3 linked regions of the Notamacropus eugenii genome follow. The protein of the gene in region 3 interacts with the protein of the main gene of each other region in a pairwise test. Links are inferred from orthologs where the notes say so. Each region holds a gene or a part of one and is shown on either strand. Other genes may lie near its edges. The genes, in order: RAF1, GIGYF1 and GRB10.

Region 1 (7,273 bases), about 19 Mb from region 3:
TCCTTCCAAATGCACTGGAGCAATTCAGTTTTTAAATCTGAAGACTTTTGCTTTGAAGATTTTCACTCCTATGAACAGAACTTTTGTAAGTCTATTTAAAACATTTTAATGTTTAAGCTTCTCAGTTATACCCTTTCCACACTTCCAATGACTGACAAATTAATCTACCATCTTTCAATAACAATCATTAGGATAAGAAATTTAAGTCCGCACTAAGGTATACAATGATGTTTAGCTAAAGACCTACTCCCAAGGTGTCTATAATACTGTTAAATGAAATCCACCTCAAGCAGTTTTTCTGCCATTAAATGATACATTACCAAAGTAAAATACTATGAGGCCATATAATTGCAAATCACACATAAAACTTAATCACACATAAAAATTATTCTGCTTAATTTCTTAATTTCTGCAGAAACAGCTTGTAATATTAACTGCATAGAATAGAGCTTTTTAAAAAATTTAAACAATCTATGATTCTATTTCATAAAGAGTAAAATTAAACCAAATTGAATTATTTCACTAGAACACAGATACTGAGTTGAGAGTTACAGGGGATAAAGATTAACAAAATTTTGCCTTCAAGAAACATAACTCCAGAAAGCTTTCAGATTCAAAGAAGCTTCAAGGAAAACAACTTAGGAGTGAAAATTCAATCTTTATATTTACCCTAATATTTAATACTCCAGATTTCATACTTTGTTTTAAACTACAAAAGCAATCAACTTCTGATATGAGTCTGAGGTTTCAATTATGAACCCAAATATTGTTGTTCTCCAGTGACCCAGTCCCTCCTAACCCTGAGTTATATTAAACCACACCCAGTAAACTTTTTTTTGGTGAATTTCGCAAAGATCTTCTATTTTAAATGTTAATTTGAGAGAATGCTCCGAGGTAGTGAAACATAAAATAGTTCCCTCCTGGAAAACACAAACATGTCTCCACTAACTGACAATGATAAACCCCTGTGTACCTAATTAGACAAGTTCTAAACAAAAACAGTAACAAGTCTATTCTCCCCTAGTATTAGCCTTCAAATGAAACAATTGTTTCCATTTCAAAACAACCCGACTAGCATTAGAGATATTAAATATCAGCCTCTGACTTAATTGTATATGCATTACATACCAAAACAGTATGACTTAGAAATTACTGTAATAAAGGAACATTGTCACCACAGTCAATACAAGAGCATTAGTGCTGTTCTAACAAACTTGTGGATATGAAAACCTTTTGTGTGTAAAAATGATTTTAATTAGAAAACGAATGCATTTCAAGGTTAAGAAAAAATTCAATTGCACACTTAACCTTGGATACGGCCACTATAACTCACTCAGACGTCATGGAATCACCTTTCTGATGTCATGGTCCTTCGTGAACCAAGGGCAAACAACATGGGTACTGTTATTGTTGTTAAGTGTGTGTTTCCAGGTGGGGGAGTTAACTGTCTTTTTCCAAGTTCTCTACCGTCCACAATCCTCAGATTTCATCTTGCATGTTTAGATGCTGCCCAACCGTTTCCAACATATACTAACATACACAACTAGAACACTAAAAATTAGTCTGAACTACATTTTACAATCTACCCTTTTGTTTTTAAGGCAACCTATAAAAAACAAGGCCTAAGAGAACATTACTCATTACTGCCTAAGTACAGAATACACAACCTGAAATCCCACGTAACCAAGTAACAAGGAAGAAACAACTAATATTGTTTTGCTATGATAAAAACCGCCATTTCAAAAGTTTACCAGTTTCAGCATGGAGAGCACAAAAGAAATCTGGTTCTCAAACAGAAAAGATAATTCTCATTTAAAGGGACAAACACTAAAATAAACTAATTTCCATAGGACCCCAGTCTATGTTTACCATACGCCGGGACTGCCCTATGCAGCTGGTCATACACCCAAGAATCTGCCCGTGTCCTGCTAACATTATGTCCACAAAAGGAAACTGACCAAGTGATGTATGAAATAAACGAGAAGGAATGGAGAAAGAATCTCTTCACGAAGAACGCAAAGCTTAGCTCACACTCCAGGACCAATGTTTCCCAAGCCTTTTGCAAATGAGTTTCTTACAACACCGCCTTCGCTTTAGAATAGCATTAATTTACTTACTTTCAGCAAAGTCAGCCCCAGTTCCTTTCTCCAAAAACTACCAAGCCCTCGATCCATTTTCACCAGGCAAAAGCATCCTCTTCAGCGCAAAAGAACACAGGTTCTCTTAACTATTCCACTCGCCCGACCACACGCACACAAGGAGAACTCAGGATTTTCTCCTCCTCCCCATTTTCACCCACCCGGCCCCCCCCCCAAATAAAAAACCCTGGGGAGAGAGGGGGGGACAGGACTGCTGAAGGGAGAGGCGCCGCCAGGAGCCCAGGGTCTCTCCCCGTCTCCAGCTGCACCGCAAAGGTCCCATTGCTCCTGACACCGACTTCGCTCTGGGAAGCCTTCCTCAGTGTTTACCAAAACTCGGGGCTGCCAGGCTGGCCTCGCACCCCGAGCCTCAGCGTCTGCCGACTCGCAGATGTCACTTCCCCGATCGCCTTCCCGGCCTCCACAGGGAGGAGGCGTCGGGGGTCCCTTCTACGCTCCAGATCTACGATGGCCCCCATCCCAGGGCCTCCGTTTCCTCATCGGGACGTAAGGGGGGAGGGTTTCTGGCATCTCTACATCTATGAACCACCCCCACTCCCGGCCTCAGTTTCCTCATCTGTGACGGGAAGGGCTCAGGGCCCTTTCCGGCGCTGCCCGGCCGAGGCTCGGCGGGCTGTGCCCGTCTCCCTTGGCCCGCGTTCCCCGGAAGGGCCGCGGCCTCCTCAGGCGAGGAGCCGCGCCGGGCCGGAGGCCCCGCTCTCGCCTGCCGGGCTGAGCCGGCTCGGCAGCCTACCTGCGGGGCCGGTGCGCGCCGCGTGCGTCCCGTCTCGCCCCGTCCCGTGCGTGCCCGCGGCCCGGGCCGAGGCGGCAGCGGCGGCGCGTCGAGTGCGCCCAGCGCCCAGGCCCGATCAGCGGCGGCGCGTCCCCAGCCCGGGGGAGGGGGCCCCGGGCGGCCCCCGCATCGTCCCCGGGCAGGGGCCCGCCCGCCGGCCGCCGCAGAGTCGAGGGCCCGGGCCGCCCGCCGCCGCCGTCCCGGCCCGGCCGAGCCCGTGGAGGGGCGCTCTCTGCCCGCCGCGGCGCCCACGCTCGCGCTCTCGCTCCGGCGCCCGCTCGCGCTCGCTTCCTCACTGCTGGCGGCGGCTCGCTGCCTCCATCTAAAATGGCGGCCTCAGCGTCCGCGACGAGGAGGCTCGGCGCTCCTCGGCCTAACCTGCGGCGCCTCCCCCGCGCCGCCCCCACCTACCGCGGCCCCCGCCGCCGGCACGGCCCAGGCGCCCATTCATCGGCTCCGGTATCGTTCCCTCTTCCCTGGCTCAGGCCCCGCCCCTGGAGGCGGGGCCTCGGCGCGCCTGCGGCCGCCATTTCGAACTGCTAGCGAGCGGGCGGGCGAGCGGGCGGGCGAGCGGGCGAGCCCCGGGACCGAGGCCGGGAACCGGGGACCGGGGCGCCCCGAGGGCCGAGGCCGGCAGCTCCCGCGGAGAGGATGGACCGCTGCGGGCCACGACGCCGCGGGGGTCCCAGGCGAGCTCCCTCCCCCGTAGACGGCGCCCTTTTTACAGCTGGGGAAACTGAGGCTCCGGGAAGGGCCGGGGGGCCGCACAGCTCCACGCGGAAAGCTGCGTGACCGCCGCGGTGACCGCAGCCATGCCGCTCTGTGCACGGCCCCTCTGCCCCTCGCAGCGAAGCTCACTTCCCGGAGGAGCACCCTGAGGCAGACGGGATGCTGACGGGCAGCGTCTACGCCACCCTTCGAGGCTTGCAGAGCGCTTAGTAGGTCGCCCCGTTGGACCTCGGCTCCCGCAAGGGAGGTGCTGTTACCCCGACTTCTCCGGCAGGGCAGCAGTCCCGGACGGTGGTGATCGCCGGCGCGTGCGCAGCCCTGGCGCGGACGGGACGGTGTCGGAGGCAGGCTTTGGACTCGGGTCTTCTGACTCCAAGGTCATCCTGGGGACGCCCAGCGGCCTCGGGCCACGTGCAGAGCTGAAGGGCCCCCAGCCTTTTACCGGGGAGAGGACACGAGGGGATTGGCACCCAGACCCTCTGACGCCGAAGACCCCAGTGTTCGCCTGTCCTGGCATACAGGACGTGCCCCCCGCCAGCCAGCCTGGGTGCAGCCGCACGCGTGGCCGCCGGACTTGGGCTGACCAGCTTGCCAGGACGGTCTGTTCTGGTATTTCTCGTAGAATTTGTTCCTGGACGTTATGAAAGACTCCAAGAACCAGGACTGTAGGGCCGTGCTTTTTTTAAGCCTCCTTTGAAGTCAGAGGGCCTAGGTTCAGTTCTCAGCCTTGGGACTCCCTGCCCGTGGGACTCTGAAACACCTCCTGCCTCCCTGTGAAATGCAGACCTCGGGCCAGGTAGCCCCCGAGGCCGCTTCTGGCTCCAAGTCTGTGAGGCTCCTTAAGCAGCCAGGGACCCTAGTGTGTAGAGAGAACACTGGGCCTGAATTCAAGGGCACCCGAGCTCTTCTCCTGTATCGCCAGCTCATCTCACTACTCCACACCTCAGTTTCCCCATCCAGAAGATGGGATAATAATACCACCCACCTCAGAGTGTTGTGAAGATTCAGTGAAAAAATATGTTCAAAATCCTTTGCAAATATAGATGCTACTAAATAATTATGTCTTTCCCAAGCCTTTAAGGAGTTTACAGTTTGGAGAAACAAATGTGAAGCAGCAGCTTTATCTCTGGCACTTCCCTTAATCTTTTCCTTTTCCTTACTCCCTGCCCCCCATGCTGAGGAGGTGATTTCTTCCTACTTAAATTTATCATGAGACTCCCTGGACCTCTTTTTTGCAATTAGTCATTCTCTCTTACAGTCATTTTTGTCTTTACACCCACATTTGGTTGTAAGCTCCTCAGGAGCAGGTTCAGTGACTTAGCTGTCTTTGTATCCCCAACAATTAGGAGTTAGCCTTGGACAAACGTTAGTTTGTTGTAAACTAAGGCTGTAATTGGCCTAATGTAGTAAAGGGGGGCTTCAGGGCAAGGGTGTGTCTTGAAAGTGAATGAGAAGACTGTTATCTTAGAGCCCTGTGTCACTTAGAGATTGAGGATCAGACCCTTCCCACCAAGACTAGCTATATGCATCCTATTTCCCTTTTCTGAGATTCACAATCCTAATTACTGATTGATGAATTAAGGAGGATGATATCTGTATTACTTACCTCACAGAGTTGTGGTTCAGATCTCTATTGAATTCAGGATATATACAGAACTTTGTAAATCTTAAAGGCTTTATAAACTTCAGTTGTTTTCTTGGAGAGCAGTGGGCACAGATGTTTAAAGGATTCTTCTTCCCCCCTTAAACTGATCCCCGCCCAGTTTTTGTGTTTTTTCTTTCCTGCCCAAAGCACTTTGAAGTTTCCAGGAGAATTGCCACCTGAATAGAGGCTGGGGCTGCTGCCAGTCTTAAAAGATTATTAGACAACACAGCTTAACCAGGCAGAGCTCCATAGGAAACATTGGGGTCAGTTGTGTGTAGGTGTCTGTTGCCCCAGGTGTGGCCTTATCTATTTACTGGGTGCGCCAGTCTGTCCCCTCCCTCCAAACTCTCCTTATGGTGCTGCTTCTTTTAATTTCCCATTTTAAAATACATAGGATTCTGTTTTTTCAGCAAATCCCTTTCCCATGCCTCATCTGCGTGCCCTGTTTTCTTCTCACCACACTATTTCCTTAAATCCAGTTCTCTGCCCAGGATCAGAAAATTTCATGTTTGGAAAGATCACCTTGTCCTACCAGCACCTGAAGAAAGATCCAATACACTTGGGGCATCTAGGTGGTCCAGTGGATAGGGTGCTAGCCTTGGAGTCAGGAAGATCTGAGTTTAAATCTAGGCTTAGACCCTTACTATGGGTGTGACCTTGGGCAAGTCACTTAACCCTGTTTGCCTCAGTTTCCTCATTTGGAAAATGAGCTAGAAAAGGAAATGACAAACCAGTATCTTTCCCACAAAAACTCCACATGGGATCACAAAGAGTTGGACATGACTGAAATGACTCAAATACAAACACCTGACAAGGGTGTTTTTCCTTAGAGACCTCAAGTGATGACCCACTACCTTCCAAGACAAGCCATTCAACTCTTGGATAGTTCCAGTGTGCTAGGAAAGTTTTCCTTAGGTCAAGCCTAAATCTGCTGTTTGCTCTCACTGTTATCTCAGTTGTCAAACAGAACAAGTCAATCAGTTAAGTGCTTATTGTGTGCCAGCTACTGTGGAATAAAAGACAAAAATGCCCTGTCCTCACACATTCATATACCATATGAATTCAACTATTTTCCAATAAGTTTGATATGGTGACTTTCTCTGTGCATATTCAGCCCCCCAGGGTCAAGTTCAGAGGGAAGAACGGAATGGTGGAAATGACCCAGGGAGGATTAGAAGGGCAAACCAAGATCTTTGAAGTCACTGGCAAAGAAGGGGTCAGGACTGGCAAGTGACACTGGCGATGGACTCTGTTTATTGAATGATTAACTGATTGGAAATCAGGGTGAAGACAGAAATCAGATGGAATGAGAAGGAATGAGAGAGAAGTAAGAAAAATGGCATTGGAATTAAGGAATAGCTTTGGAGTTTGGCATCTTGGGAGGTAGCACAGTCCCAGATAGTAGTGAAGTTTAAGGTGTAACTGCATTGCTTTGTGAATAAAGCGGATTGAGGACAGAAGATTGTATCATCAGACTTGTGAAGAAAGTTAAACAATACTTACTCATAAGTGAGAGGACCATATGACAGCAATGGATTCTGTTTTAGGAAGAAAGATGACCAGAAGAGGCAGCAGGGTAGAGATATAGGGTTATGGGCGTAGACCTAGGAAGGACATCAGAGACCACATTGTATGATTTCTTTCATCCTCTACACTGACCCCATTTTTATAGATTAGTACGTTGAGGCCCAGGGAAGTTAAGTAACTTGTATAAAGTCACAAAGATCAGAGGTAGGATTTGAACCCAAGTCCTCTGACTCCGCAATTGCATCTTTCCACTGAAAGCCAAGGTTATAAGTGTGGCTCTGCAACTTGTATGACCTTATATCTGTCACCTGTGCTCTCTGGCTCTGATTTCCTTCATCTACTGAAATAAAGGGTCAGCACTACATGATCTCTAAGGTTCCTCCCACCTCTATCATACTGAGACGTCCTTGATTTTTCCCTCTTTGGTTCCTTCTACATTCA
Region 2 (7,814 bases), on a different chromosome or scaffold from region 3:
ACATTTTCAGTCATGGTGTAGGAATGTGTATATATTTACGACAAGGTCTTTTGGGGTTTTTTTCCTAGTGTGTAGGGAGAGGAGGGAGAGAGCAAGGAAAACAGGAATAGGTTATCCATAAAAAAGAAAAGAATGGAAAGGAAGGAAGGAAATAAGGTCATTGAAACATTTTTAATACACAGAAAAGAATGACAAAATCTAGAAATAAAAACAAGCAAAAGTGTTAAAGCTCATATATCAGATTTATTGTATATTTAAGAAGAAAAATAAGCTGTATGTAGCTCTGGCATCTCTCTCTAAGGGCTAGGTTGCTACTCAGTCGAGCTATTGTTTTCTATTGTCATTGGCTTGAACCCCACCTTCTATATTCTCCCCATTTATTTAAGGGGCCGGTGAATAGTACACTCAGTTCCACTGAAGCACTTAACATCAGATTAGCTTTTAAAAAATATTTATTTCAGATATAAAGCAAGAGCAAATTGACAAACATACTCCTTCATACTACTTCAGTTTCTGGGGTAATAAATTCAAAGTTTAATTCAATTCCCACATAATATCAGTCCCACCAAACTCAGGTCCAGAGGTGCCAGATGAGACCTTGTCTTTGCTACCACCAGTTTGGAATCCTGAAGGTCCCTCCTTATTCTTCATCAGCATAATATTACTGTGGTTGTAAACTTGAATTTCTAACTCCAGAATGTGGAGAGTCTATTGGTTTATACTTGGAGACATATTTTGCTGTAGCTGTGAATCTGAACTCTGGAATAACCAAATCATCGAGGAACCCTTTAAAATTCACAAAGTCATAAGGATCCACTCCTTCATTTGTTGCCAAGCTCCCCAAAAAGTGCTGAGGAAACGAGACAATAACTGAAGCTGACATGTCTTTGCCTCCTCAGCAAATCAAAGAACCTCCTTTTCAACATGCGGTTAGCCAACCAGCAGTTACAGAATGTCTACACATATTCCACAGTCTGTCTCTCCAAGACAGTCTCTTACGCATCATCACAGATCTCTCAGAAGCAGTTCCCTAGTATCTTGATGAGATACCACCTTCTCCTTAGATTCTTCCACATACCATCTAAGGCATTCTAGGCATGTGCCAGATCCTGATTAAATGTACATAACAGAAATCTGAAGTTTCATTTACAGTCCTCTTTTGCTATTCTCCTACGTAGAAAATGAAAATGCCCATTTTATTTGGTGTTATGTTCAGAATAAAAAGAAACCTAGAAAAGGCCAGAAGGAAACAGAAACAACACATTTTTGCAAATTTGTTGAATTTATTATATACTTAAAAGGAAAATGCAAATTATGTATCAATCAATCAATAAACATTTATTAAGCACCTACTATGTACCAGGCACAGTGCTAAGTGTTCTAATCTTTTCATAATAAAGATTTGAGGCTTCATATGCCATGTTCTTTTTCTGCTCTACTTTTTGGTATTTAAATGAAGATAAATTAATTTTTAAAAGAATTTTTAATAAATTAATTAATAAATTTTTAAAAGAATGGACGCCAAAGTCAACGTTTGGCGAGTCCCCCACTACAAATATATTGAATAAATGAATGTTGGAAGACTCAATTCTCTCCTGGATCTCCTCTACCTGTCTGATTTGTCTGACAGTTCTTAGTCTCTTTTTGCTGGATCTTCATTCTAGTCATATCCACATTCAGGTCATGCCCACTAACAATGAAGGTCCCTTAAAGCAATATTCTGGGCCCTCGTATTTTCTCCCTCTAGAAGATCTTGTTTGGTTTTCTCATCAAGTCCCATGGGTTCAACTATCATTTCTATGCCGATGATCCCCAGATCTAACCCTAATCTCTCCACTAAGGTCATCATCAACTCCTTCTTGAGTCTCTCAGCTGGATAGCCCTTAAGCATCCCAAACATTACTGTCCAAAACAGAACTCATTATATCATCTCCCCTACCACTCACACCCAAACCCTCCTTTCCTCATATCTTTCCTGTTACTGTAGAAAACAGTCACTATTCTCATAACTATCCAAGCCTGGTATCATCCTCAACTCCTTATTCACTGTAAACTCCTTAGTGACATCCTCACTCCCCACATATACAATCTGTTGCCAAGTCTTGTCTCTACTACCTTCACAAAATCTCTCCTATATCTTTCCTCTCAAGTCATAGTCACCATCCTGGTGTTAGCCTTCATCCTTTTTCACATGGACTATTGCAATAGCCTTCTGGTTGTTATCTTTGCTTTATGTCTTCACTCAGAAGCCAAGGTGATTTTCCTCCAGCCTAAGTCTATGACAGCCCCCTAGTTAAAAAAAAAGGCTGCTTTCAGGGCTGCTTTCTTCCTCTAGTGTCCACCTGATTCACCTAACTCTCACCTGTGGCTCCACAAAGCTGCAGTACATTGGCCACACCCTGTTAAACTGTTTCGGCAGATAGACTGAACCAGGCTGAGGGGAACTGAGAAGTCGAGGGTGGGTGTGGGGGTAATGTCTACCCTAAGCATGTGAAGACTTCCCCTTGGTGGAATGGGCAGATGAAAACAATTTTTTCCAATGGCCATGAAGGCAGTTGAAGTAGGTGCTGTGGAACACTTGGAGACTAGTTAGACATTGAAGACGGCAAGGTCATCCAATGTATCTCAAGCCATCACCAGTCATCTTGACTCTGTCCTGGAGTGTGAAGACTCTGGAAGAGACAGTGAGGCTGATGACTTCATGCAACTCTGCCTCACTTAAATCCAATTTACACCTTAATCAAAAGACATCACTCAAACCATACCAATGGAAAGTGTGGGAGATAAGAGATATTAGACTGATTACCAAACTGAAGGTCTACAGAGCCATTGTGCTGAACTCATTGTTAAGTGCCTATGAAACCTGGAAAGTCTACCAGCACTATGCCAGAAAACTGAATCACTTCCATTGGAATTGTCTTAGGAAGATTCTGAAGATCACCTAGCAGGATAAGGTACCAGACACTGAGGTCCTTTTTTGAACTAAACTGTCAAGCATTCAAACAGAGATCACAAGTTCAATGGGCTGGCCACACTGTTTAAATGTCAAATGTATGTTTACCAAAAAGACTATTTTATGTAGAATACACATTGCATTGACATCGTGGTCAGAAAAAGTGATACAAGTACACTTTCAAGGTCTCTCTTAAGAACTCTGAAATTGATTGTGTGACACGGGAGACACTAGCAAAAGACTACCCAGCATGGTGTGCCCTCATCAGAAAAGGTTCTGTGCTCTATGAGCAGAACAGAATTCAAGTAGTTCAAAAGAAATGTGAAATGTGCAAGTTTAGAGAATCGACCCCAAATGTTCACATGGACTATTTCTGCCCAAACTGCGGTAGAGCATTCTGATCTCATATTGGTCTGATCAGCCACAGTCAGACATACTGTAACTTGACTCTAGTGATGTCATTTTGGTACTCTTTGATAATGAAGGACAACCCACCAATCCTTCCATGAACCCTATGATCCATCACCACTGGCCTTCTTGCTGTTTCTCCCACAGGACACTGCATCTCCTAATTCTGTGACTTTTCACTGGTTGGCCCTAGTACCTGAAATGTTCTTCCTCATGTCCACCTCCTGACTTCTCAGGCTTCCTTCAAGTCTCAGCTCAAATTCTACCTTCTGCAGGAGGCCCTTCCAGATCTTTACTTCACTTAGCCCCACCCCATTAGTGCCTTCCTTCTGAAATAATTTCCATTTACATCATATATATTGTATGTACAATTGTTTTAATGTTGTTTTCCCCATTAATTCTAATGAATTAAGTGAACTCCTTGAGGGCAGCCATGTTTTTTCCTTTGTCCCCCGGTGCTTGGCACAGCACCTGACATATTAGTAAGTCCTTAATACTTGTTGACTGATAGAATGAATACTTTAATTCAGTAGACTGTGAAAAAGGCCCCATTGCAATACAACAAAGGGCTGATGCTCATGAAATTGACATGAATGTTCTTGAGGTAATCAACTAGCATTTAAACACCTGCTACGCGTCAATTACCAGGCTAACGATACAAAGAAAGGGGAGACAGTTCCTGGTCTCAAGAATCTTCTAGTCTGACCGGGAAACAACTTGCAGAAACAGGATGTGCAAACAAGCCACAGACCCAAGAGATGGCAGAGGGGCAGCTAAGTGTCCAAGTGGACGGAGGGACAGCCCTGGAGTCCGAAGACCCGAGCTCAAATCCAGACGCAGCCACTTACTTAGCTATGTGACCCTGGACAAGTCACTAACCTGCAGCTGCCAATTTCCCCCTCTACAACGGGGATGGTAGCAGAACCTACCTCCCATGGTGGTTGTATCAAATAAGATACTTCTAAAGCGCTTCCCGCAGCCTGAAGCGCTACACAGATGCGTTACTGTGGTCAGTGTTAAAAGTGCCTTTCACATGCATGATCTCATGCGGGCCTCACAATAATAAGCCGGGGAGGGGCGCACTCCCGATTGCCCGTCCCACGCTGCCTCGGGCCGTGGGTGCCCCGGCAGGGCCTGGGGTTTCCCTGCCCTTTTGTGTGTCTGACTGCAAGCGATCCTCGTCCAGCTGCCTCGTGGGTCGCCCGGCCACACCGGACCCCCGGGAGGAGAGATGCGGCTGGACTGCTAATGTTCGAGGTTCGATGACGCCATGAGGCGCCCTGACGTACGTCCGCCAGTCCGTCCGTCCGTCCGTCCATTCGGAGCTGCAGGGCGGGCCGCCTGTCAGGTGCCGGGGGAGCTGGCGCACTTAATTGGGGGAGTAGTAGGAGGGGAGGAGGGGAGGGCGGTATAAAACAACCAAACAAGCCATCCCAACTGGCTCCGGGTCACGTGACGCGCCAGGCTGGGCTCCCCGATCACGTGCCACTCGGTAGGTGCTGCTCCGCGCGCCTACGAGAGCCCCCTTGCGAAGGTGTGTGAGTGTGTGCCGTGTGCGTGTGTCTGCCCGCCCGCGCGGCTCTGTATGTGTGGAGCGGGGCCCGAGGCGGGGGGGCGGGGGTAGTTGTTGCGGGGGGCAGGGGGGTTGGGCGCGGAGCGTTCCCTCGTCACGTGGCGCAAGGCGGGCAGCCATCTTGCTACAAACACAAACACTGAGGAGCGGCTGCAGCGGGAGCGCCAGCGCGCGCCGCCCCCCCTTCGCCTCCCTCCCCTCCCCCCTCGCCGGCCAGTCTGCCGCGCGCCCTAGCCTCGCGCCACCAACGCCCCGGAACTGGAGCCCGAGCCTGGCGCAGCCTGCCCGGGATCGCCCGCCCGCCCACCAGCGGTAAGGAGCGCGTCCGCCCCATCCAGCCCGGCCCGGCTCGGCCGGGGGGCGCCTGGGGCCTACGGGCCGGCGTCCCCACCCCCGGCCCTCCCCCGACCCCGGCAGCCTCTCTCGGGACCCCGGAGGCCGGAGGGGCGGCAGGCCAGAGCGAGGCTCGCTCCCCCTCCCCGCTAGGGCCAACCCCTCTTCCCCTGAGGGCGGGACTGGGCGGGCCAGGCCCCTCCTGCATCTCCGGCTGAACGCCCAACCGCGCGGGGCACCCGCAGCATCCCGGCCTCCCCTGGAGACCCTGCCCCATCGGGGCTGCCCTCCGCTCACCCCACCCCAGCCCCGGCTTTGCGTGGCCACTGGAGCGGGGAGCCCCCGCACCACAGTCTGGGCCCATTGGGGAAGGGTCCCCGAATCTCCTGGGAGGGCGTGCAGTGCGCTACACCGATCTCTCCCCCTCTCCCCACCGCTCTTGTTTAAGAATAACCCCCCCTTTCCATTGTACCCCTGTTTCTTCTCCAGTCAAATAAGGGGGTTGGACTGTAGTCATCCCAATCCCAGCTTTGACATTGTGAGACTTCCCCATGATTGAAGCTCTTCTGAACTCCCCACCACAATATCCTGATATTTCCACAGTGGTTCTGTTTTGGCAATGAAATACATCTCCACACACAGTCAAGATCCCTCACTTTTCTCCTCCTGGGTCATAAGATCCTAGATTTAGAGCTGGAGGGACCTTAATGTTCGTGGGGTCTGACCTGCGTGGCACTGATTCCAAGCCCCCTGCTCGGTCCACTAGACCATGCTGCTGCCTTTATAGTGTCTGGTTTTTCCTCTAAATTTTCTTGTCTGGCAGTGACAAACAGAACAGACACCCTTATGAACTCCATTCTTTCCAGAACTTCAACCTTTCTGCAGAGCTCTCAAAAATCCCAGGATTCTGCTTTCATAGGACACATTTAGATAGCACATAAAGATTTACCGAGCAAGACCATCTTTATAGAGACTATCTCAGTAAATTGTTTGAATTTCTGTCAAAAGAATCCCCTCCTAAATCGCTTTTAATTTACCCCTCATAAAGAGAGCCTAACTTAAAGATCATCTCAACCTCATCATCCCTTGCAACTTTATGTCTATACTCCTGTGCATTCATCTGCTAGAGGCATTAGATCTTTTTAGATAAACAGTAAAAACTTGGTATAGTATAAGTGAATCTTAGCTGTGCTACTTTCTATTTGTGTTACCTTAGGTAAGTCACTTACTATCTCTGGACCTCTGTTTTGTCATCTGTATCATGAAAGTACAAAAAGATTATTTCTAAGGTTCATATGATTTTGTGAACATAGTTACTCTCCCAGTGTTACCCTTTAACTGATTTACCACTAGATGTAATACCCCAGCTCTTGTTTCTCTTTCAGAATAAGCCACCTGTCTTGATTTATGCAAGTATGAATAGGTTGAGGAATGTTTGAAGGGTTTGCTCTGGTAGTGTTTGATTAGGTTTAATCATGTCACACAGGAGCCTTGTTTAGCTGAGAAATCAAGGTCTTCAGGGTACTTGGTGATGATTGGAGACTCTAGAGAATCAAGAGTTTGGGCTACCTGAGACATATCTGAGAGTGTGTGGGAATTGATGGACTTGAAATCCTTAGGGAAACTGAATTCTTGGATTATATCCCTGTGACTGTTCCTCAGACTGTATACTAGAATTTTTTGTACCAATGAGTTCCTAGAAATAATAATATAAAAATGTAAGTAACTGAGAAGGAAGGGATTGGGGAGGGCTTCTAAGTGGTGCATTGAACCTTTGCCTGACTTTGGAAGTAAAGTGAGGAAAAACAATCCAACAGTTAAAATTTTGGAAACTAAAGTATTCCTAGGAATTAGGGATGATGAGAAGAGTTGCAGTTGATATAAAGTCTTCCTCAGCCTCTATCTAGGGACAGGAATCCTTGTTTTATGGAGCAACAACTGTCCCTTAGCACAGTGTTTTGTGTGTGGTGAGCAACTAATAAATACTTTTAATTCATTCAGATCCCATCAACTTGGAGGAATCAGTAAAAGAGCTCAAATAAAATGAAAGGATGTGAAAGCGCTTCAGCATTGGCAAATGTGAATGACATATTAGTGGTTTTAGGAAGTAGAAATAGGGACCAGAGATGCTTACTCTCTAAATAGACTGCCTCCTTTTCTAAACGAGAAACTTTTCAGCCAGATAGGAGAAAGGTCTTTTTGAAATAGGGGGAATTTTGAAGACCCAAGCAGAGATAGCTACTTTGGATATTGGAGATCTGAGTGAGATTTTTCTGTCCATCACTTATGACTGGAGCTAAATTTGGAGTATTGGGAAGAAAGTACTTCAAGGATCTAGAATCTTATTAGTTTGCAGTCCTTCCTCCACCAATGCAGATTTTAACCTACTTTGTGACTTAATTATTTGCAAAAGAAGATATTACCTTGTGGGTGACTTGGTGATGAACCTCTGCCACTGGGCCAGGCTTGCCCTCACACAATACATACAGTCTGACAGAGCTTGTGCTTTGCTAGTATTGCTTTCAAGAACCTGGGAACACCAAGGTG
Region 3 (7,139 bases):
TTATTTATTTTTTTAAATATTTCCCAATTATATTTTAACTGGTTCTATCCCCAATCCCCTCAGTTGTACAGCAGCTGCCTCTAGGTCCCCAGTGTTATACCCTTAATCTTGTCCACCTTGCCCCCTACCCAGGTCTAACCCCTCCCCCCCCATTCTACAGATGAGGAAAAGGATGTTCAAAGAAATAATCTGATTCTTCCAGTCACATAGCTAGTTAGTGCCAAAGCTAGCATTTCAGCTCAATCTCTGGTTTAGTCTTTCTGCCTAGTTTTATCAGGGCAGCTAAGTGATACAACTGGGCCTAGACTCAGGAAGACCTGAGTTTAAATTTGGTCTCAAAACTTACTAGCTGTGTAACCCTGGGCAATTCACTTAAGCCTGTTTGCCTCAATTTCATCTGTAAAATGAGCTAGAGAAAGAAATAACAAACCACTCCAATATCTTTGCCAAGAAAACCCTAAATGGTGTCACAAAGAATTGGACATGACTGGACAGCCAGTTTTATCCCTTTGTCTTCAAGCTACAGATCTCAGCGTTGCTATGAGGACAGGGCTTTGCAAACCTGAATGCCCTCTATACATCTGAACTGCTGTCATCCAAAGGTGTCTTCCCATGGTCATTACGATTCCCTCCCAAGGCTTGCAACTGGGATGTACTGCACAGTACATTGAATTGTTAAGACAGAAGCATTCAGGGATCTGGTTCCAAGGCCTTAACTTCCCATCCAAGGGCATTTCTATTCATGTCAGAGTTATGTGTGAGTGTGGAAAGGAAGTTTGTTTTACCATCTGCCAGTGTTAAGGGAGTGTTAGTCTAGCTAACTTCCAACAGCAGTGAGAGGAAACCAAAGGCAGTCTAAGTATATGCAAGCCAACAAATACGCAGTTTAGCTTTACAGCCTGTCCCCAACTTGTGAGCGCTTAACTTAGAAAGAAGCCAATACATGCACAGGCAGTACCAGCGTCAAGTCAATAGTCCAAGGAGAATCTAAGTCAGTCTCTACCTTTCTCTCCCCACCAATTTAAAACACCTTGGTGTATTGTTGACCTAGAGAGGAACTTTTTCTTGCAGAGGTATAAATTCATAATATTATTGTAAGGGTGTGGTCGAAACCACTCCATTTCGGTTCTGGTGCCTTGACTAGGTGAGCATACTTTCTGATCAATACAAATGAAACCCAATGTGAACAGAACCTGTACAATGCCTTTATGTGAAAGGCAATTTGTGTAAAAGCAAGAAACTATCTTAGAACCTGGGGAAGGGATTCTGGGTATCTGGATTCAAGAAGTTGAATCAGGCCATAGTATTTTCTTTGAAGAGGGAAGAGAGGACTGAGCTGTGGCAGAGAATATGGAGGAGAGTCACTAGTGAGAGAAATACCCAGAAAAGGCCAGCACCTTCCCTTCCTGTCTATCCACAGACACTACAATAAAATCTGCTGTTTCATTACCTAAAGGTTCCCTGTAAACTGAATTTTGATTCCACCACAAAGAGGCCTGGAGTTAACTAGAGACAAATATAAATATAAGATCGGGCAGAGATCCCAACTTCTGAATAGGTGTTAGGAATTTTGCTAACTGGGAACTCAGAACAACTTCGACTTAACCCAGAACTTTGTTTAAAAAAAAAATCCAAAACAAACTTCATAAAGTGGAAGAGGAAGGAACCAAGTGGACCTTAGGGTCCCTGATTTAAAAAGAGCTAATTATTGAAATAGAGGTGTTAAAATATTTTAAAACTGTAATGGTCCAAACCTCCCTTTTTACAGGCTTTCATGGGGCAAATGCTCTGTGATGGAGCTACAAAGAATAAAAATGAGAAGTCCCCACCCATAAGTAATTTATGTTCAACTGGAAAGTGAGACCTAGAATAAGTAAGTGGCAGCCTTGGTAGCTAAGCAGAGCTTAGAGGAGTGGTAGATTTGGAATTAATTAGATCTGTAGCATAGGTCCTTTTGCCAGTCTGGTGAGATCCCTTCTCAGAATGTTGGTGTTTGGAATTTATAATTGAAGAAAATGTTCCCTTTTTGAGTAGAGATTAGTAAAAATAAAGATGTAGTTCGTTTTTTTTCCATCCTAGTTCATGGACCTCCTGAAAGCTATCCCAGGTTAAGTATCCCTGGTCTTTTAGAGTTCCTTCCATTTTTTAAAAGCTGTGTCCCTATGTTCCTAAGGAATTTGCCAGAGGAAAGACAGAGCTGTGAACTTTTTCCAGCCTTTTCTCATACCAGACATTGCCCTCCCTTGCGTACAGCTTAACTAACTGGAGCTATGTATAGCCCCTCACTCAGATACAAACTGGATTAAATGGGCTTTTTATAGATTCACCTGGGATCCTAACCAGTGTATATAATCTTGCTTTTATGGGAAGATAGTTCCAATTAATCGATTTACCAAGTTTTGGAAAACAGTTTGTTAACTAGGGACAACTCATCTTTTACCTCGGTGCTCACGTGCTCCGGCCCTGCCTCTCTCTGGCTTGCAAACAAGGGAGCTGCTTCTCTCTCCAAATTTGGGTTTTTGGGAGAAAAGAGATGGTAGAAAAACTTTGTTATGTTTTAGCCTTTCAACAGCTGCCTCTTTCTGGGCCTGATCTGTGACTCTTGCTAGGTTCCTAGTCTTGAAGAAAGTGCCCAACAGGCCTTCTGGTCCCTCCTCATCTCCATCCAGACACCCCTGGGGCTCCAGATAGCAGCCGTGGCTGGTGGGGACCCAGCGTGGTGGGAGCCTGGTCACTGCAGCAGCAGCAGGCACAGCAGCAAGCGCAGCAGCAGCAGGCGCAGCAGCAGGCGCAGCAGCAGCAGCAGGCGCAGCAGCAGCAGCAGGAGCAGCAGCAGGAGCAGAAGCAGCAGCAGCAGGCGCAGCAGCAGCAGGTGCAGCAGCAGCAGCAGGCGCAGCAGCAGCACGAGCAGCAGCAGCAGGCGCAGCAGCAGCAGGAGCAGCAGGAGCAGCAGCAGGAGCAGAAGCAGCAGCAGGCGCAGCAGCAGCAGGCGCAGCAGCAGCAGCAGGCGCAGCAGCAGCACGAGCAGCAGCAGGCGCAGCAGCAGCACGAGCAGCAGCAGCAGGAGCAGCAGCAGGTGCAGCAGCAGCAGGCGCAGCAGCAGCAGGAGCAGCAGCAGCAGGCGCAGCAGCAGGCGCAGCAGCAGCAGGCGCAGCAGCAGCAGGCGCAGCAGCAGCAGCAGGCGCAGCAGCAGCACGAGCAGCAGCAGCAGGAGCAGCAGCAGGTGCAGCAGCAGCAGGCGCAGCAGCAGCAGGCGCAGCAGCAGGAGCAGAAGCAGCAGGAGCAGCAGCAGCAGCAGGCGCAGCAGCAGCAGGCGCAGCAGCAGCAGGCGCAGCAGCAGGAGCAGAAGCAGCAGGAGCAGCAGCAGCAGCAGGCGCAGCAGCAGCAGCAGCAGCAGGCGCAGCAGCAGGCGCAGCAGCACGAGCAGCAGCAGCAGCACAAGCAGCAGCAGCAGCAGCAGCGGCAGCAGTAGGAGCAGCAGCACGAGCAGCAGCAGCAGCACAAGCAGCAGCAGCAGCAGCAGCAGCAGGCGCAGCAGCACGAGCAGCAGCAGCAGCACAAGCAGCAGCAGCAGCGGCAGCAGTAGGAGCAGTAACCAGAGGAGGCGGAGGAGAAGGAGTTGGAAAAGGAGGAGAGGTAGGAGGGACCGGGAGGAGGGGGCGGAGGAGAAGAAGGCGGGGCCGGCCGGGTTTAAAGCCCATTAAAGGGGGTGGGGGAAGTGAGGGAGCCCGGGAAGGGGGTGATAGATCTGGGGCTGGAGTCAGCTGAGCCTCTCGCTGTGAGAGCCGCGGATCCCGGTCCTCGGAGGAGGAGGAGGATCGCAGGCGGCAGCGGCGGCGGCGGCAGCAGCAGCAGCAGCAGCCGCCCGATCCCCAGGAGCTCCAGCGGCGGGAGGAGGAGAGAAAGAAAGGGAGAAGGAGAGAGGGAAGGGGAGGGGGAGACTCCGGCGGCGGCGATTGTGACGGCGAAGCCGCAGAAGTTTTCTTGAAAATCCTTGGGCGGCCGACTACGTGCACGGGCGTGCGAGTCTTCTGCGGACCGACTGGGCAACTACGGGAGTACCCGGTCCTGCTTTCCCACCCCACCCCCCTTCCCTCTGCCTTCTGCCTCGAATCCGTGCAGCTCGCCACCGACCCCCGCGCGAAAGCTCGGATCAGGGGGACCCCGGAGCCGGCTGTGAGCAGGGAGGGGGCCCGGGGCGGCCCCGAGGAGGAAGAGGAGGGAGGCAGCGGCGAACGGCACCGCCGGCAGCAGCAGGTAGGCATGCAGGCATGCAGGCAGGCATGCACGCCGGAGAGAGCAAGCCGGGGTTCCTAGCGGCTTCCGCCCGTCTGGGTACAACCTCCGTCCTCGACCTCGCCCCTCTCACCCAGCTTGCAGAAGTTTTTTTTGGGGGGGGGCCGAGGAGGAAGGTGGGGGAGGCGATTGCCAAGCGCCCCGAGGACCCCCAGGACCCGTCGGTCCTTTTCCTCCTCGGGTTGGGGAGCTGGTGTAGTCCCTGTGTGGAGGAGCGAACGCAGGGAAAGTTGTTTTCTGCAGCCCCTTCTGTCCCGGCCTGGCCCCGGGCCGAGTGCGGCCCGGAGCTGGCAGAAGCCGCCGGGGGAAGGCGGCCGCCCATCGCGCCTCCCGGAGGCTGGTCCGCGGAGCCAGCCCCCCAGCCCGACGGAGCTCGGGGCTGGGGCTGCTCCCGGAGCCGAGGGGAACCGGATCGGGGCTAGCTGCTCCGCAGCCCCGCCCGGCCCGGGGGCATGGCCCGCCGGCCTGCTAGCCTCCTGTCCGCGCCGCCCACCGCTCTCCTCCCGACCCCTTGGGGAGTGTGGAGCCTGCTCGCCTTCTTCTGCGGGCTGGTCACAAGTGAGGCACCCCTCCTCTCCCCAAGAAGGGGGGCGGGAAGAAAAAAGCATATACGGGCGGCATGGGGAGGGGTAGATTGGCCAGGCTGGGAGGCTATGGGAGCTATGGAGAGAGGAAGAGTGAGGGCGGCTGCCGCCGGGGTGTAATTGTTCTCTCCACACACACCCCCCCACCCCAGCCCCGAACTGTGATTCCGGTCCTTGGTCTACACTCCACTGGAAAGAGGAGGGGGCAAGGGGGGGGCATCTTTGCATCTGTATTTACTGTCTTGACTTGTCTATCTCTCACCGTTTGCTTATTATGTGTATTCCATCTCTGTGTCTATGTCTGCATGGGGGGAAGGGGAAGGGAAGGAGGTGACATTTTTGCATCTGTATTTGTTTTCCTGACCGCTGTGTATTCCGAACCCTGTGCGTGTGGATCACACACATGTATGTTTGGGGGGGAGATGGATGTGTGTGTGTGTGTGTGACCGCGCGCGTTAGTATTCGAGTTCTTGGAAAGAAGCTCAAGAAGTTGAGAACCCTCACTTGCCCCCCTTTCCCCTTCCCCTCCCCCTCCGTCTCCCCAGGCCAGCTTTTCAAGAAGTTTCATGGCACTCAGGGCCGGAGGAGGTAAGGTACAAAGATGCGGCTCGATGCCTGGTTTAACTGCCAGCCGTGGGAGCAGGCTTGGAGTGGGGCTGCTTTGGAGAAGGACATTTCTGATGCAATTCACTGCCTTTGGTAATTGCGTCTCCAAACCCCTGCCTCTCTCTCTCTCCCTCTCTCTCTCTCCTCTCTCTCTCTCTCTTTCTTCCCTCCCTCTCTCTCTCTCTCTCCCCCCTCTCTTTCTTTCTCTTTCTCTCTCTCTCTCTGTCTCTCTCTCTCTCTTTCTCCCCCCTTCCTCTCCCTCTTCCTCTCCCTTTCCCTCTCTCCCCCTCTCCCTCTCTCCCTCTCTCTCCCCTCACGGCCGCTGGAGCTCGCCGGCCACTATGCAAATGGCAACTAGATTTTGAGAGGGAGGACAGTGGCTCACCAAACTGTTTTTTTTAACAAACTTTGAGGAGCCACAAGTGACTTTTACACCATCGAGATGTGTTCGAAATCAAAGAATGTTGAACTTTAGCAATAAACAGTGAGCATTTTTCTCTACAATGTGTTTTTAAAGTCTTATTTTTATTACAAACCGAGTTCCAGACCTTATGTAAGAGGTACCCCCCCCAAGCAAAAAAAAAAGTCCAACTCTGGCAAAAGTATGTTTGCAAATCCACGTGTGTTATGGCCCCCACCTTCTCTTTATTGCTGTTTTAAAGCTGTCTGAAACTTCGGGCTTGAAAATGCTGATTCAGCAGTTGGGAGCACCGCTTTATGTCTGCTAGTGGTACTGTTTAAAATGTTTTGATTTGTTGTACTAGGAACATATGTTGTTAGTATGGCAACAAAACTCTGAGCCTGACATTGCCATGTAAGGGCTTTTTTTTTTCATCCTTCATTTGAGTAAAGTCACCCGCTCACCTTCCAAATGAGAAAAATAAGGGAGTTTTGCATCTGGTAAGAAGTAGTGGAAATTGTGGCCATTGAAACTGGTTTAAAAAAATTCTTCTTAAAGGGAAGTGCCTTTTTTTTTTTTTTAGTAGTTAAGAGTAAGCCTCTAAAAGCAAATTTAAATCTTTGCACCAGTGAGTCTAGAGGGCTAGGTTTTTTTTCCTGTTTAAAAAAAATAATAAAACTGGGGGCTTATTGAACTTATGTCCCAGTTGTACTTTGAGTACTTGAAAGAGAAGAGTAACCAGGCTAATCCCAGGATTAAAGGGGGTGAATTATAAGGACAGGTTGAGAGAGAGGGGGAGAAAAAAGCCCCCAGCAAACTAAAGATAGGAGGATGAGTAATACTGAATAGGGAAACAAAATCTCTCTGAAACGCCAAATTACAGAGAGTCAGAATATAGTGAGGCATGATGATATAACTAAATTATTTGGAAGTTGGAAGAAGGAGGCCACACAATTTTTAAAAAAATGAAGCCCAACCAGGAGACTTCATACTGATGCTCAAGCAGGCCTTGAGTATTTACAACCTATAGAAACCATATCCTGACTTGAACAAAGAAGTCTATTGTACTTTCCCCTTCATCTTAGACCTGTAAAATTCTTAGTTTGCATAACTGATAAAGTGTATTTGCTGATTTCAAAGTTGGCATAATTAAAGAACAACCCACTTCCTGTATATTCTGTCCAACTCTAGCTGCAGGGGGAGAAAGGGAGAGTGCTTGGGAGAATACATTTTAGTTTATTTTGGAGACTGTT

Evidence for each region.
Region 1: the proteins of GRB10 (region 3) and RAF1 interact in a two-hybrid assay, tested with the Homo sapiens proteins (2 studies listed by BioGRID). The link is inferred for Notamacropus eugenii from reciprocal best matches to the Homo sapiens genes GRB10 and RAF1.
Region 2: the proteins of GRB10 (region 3) and GIGYF1 interact in a two-hybrid assay, tested with the Homo sapiens proteins (2 studies listed by BioGRID). The link is inferred for Notamacropus eugenii from reciprocal best matches to the Homo sapiens genes GRB10 and GIGYF1.

Annotation. Positions count from the first base shown.
Region 1 is NC_092874.1:432,306,288-432,313,560, reverse strand, and holds the start of RAF1 (RAF proto-oncogene serine/threonine-protein kinase), read right to left. Parts: upstream 3,022-7,273; 5' UTR 2,893-3,021; intron 1-2,892. UniProt on the Homo sapiens protein: Serine/threonine-protein kinase that acts as a regulatory link between the membrane-associated Ras GTPases and the MAPK/ERK cascade, and this critical regulatory link functions as a switch determining cell fate decisions including proliferation, differentiation, apoptosis, survival and oncogenic transformation.
Region 2 is NC_092873.1:80,103,092-80,110,905, forward strand, and holds the start of GIGYF1 (GRB10-interacting GYF protein 1), read left to right. Parts: upstream 1-4,785; 5' UTR 4,786-4,853; intron 4,854-4,988; exon of another isoform or gene 4,989-5,246; intron 5,247-7,814. UniProt on the Homo sapiens protein: May act cooperatively with GRB10 to regulate tyrosine kinase receptor signaling. May increase IGF1 receptor phosphorylation under IGF1 stimulation as well as phosphorylation of IRS1 and SHC1.
Region 3 is NC_092874.1:413,605,408-413,612,546, reverse strand, and holds the start of GRB10 (growth factor receptor-bound protein 10), read left to right. Parts: upstream 1-4,122; 5' UTR 4,123-4,257; intron 4,258-7,139.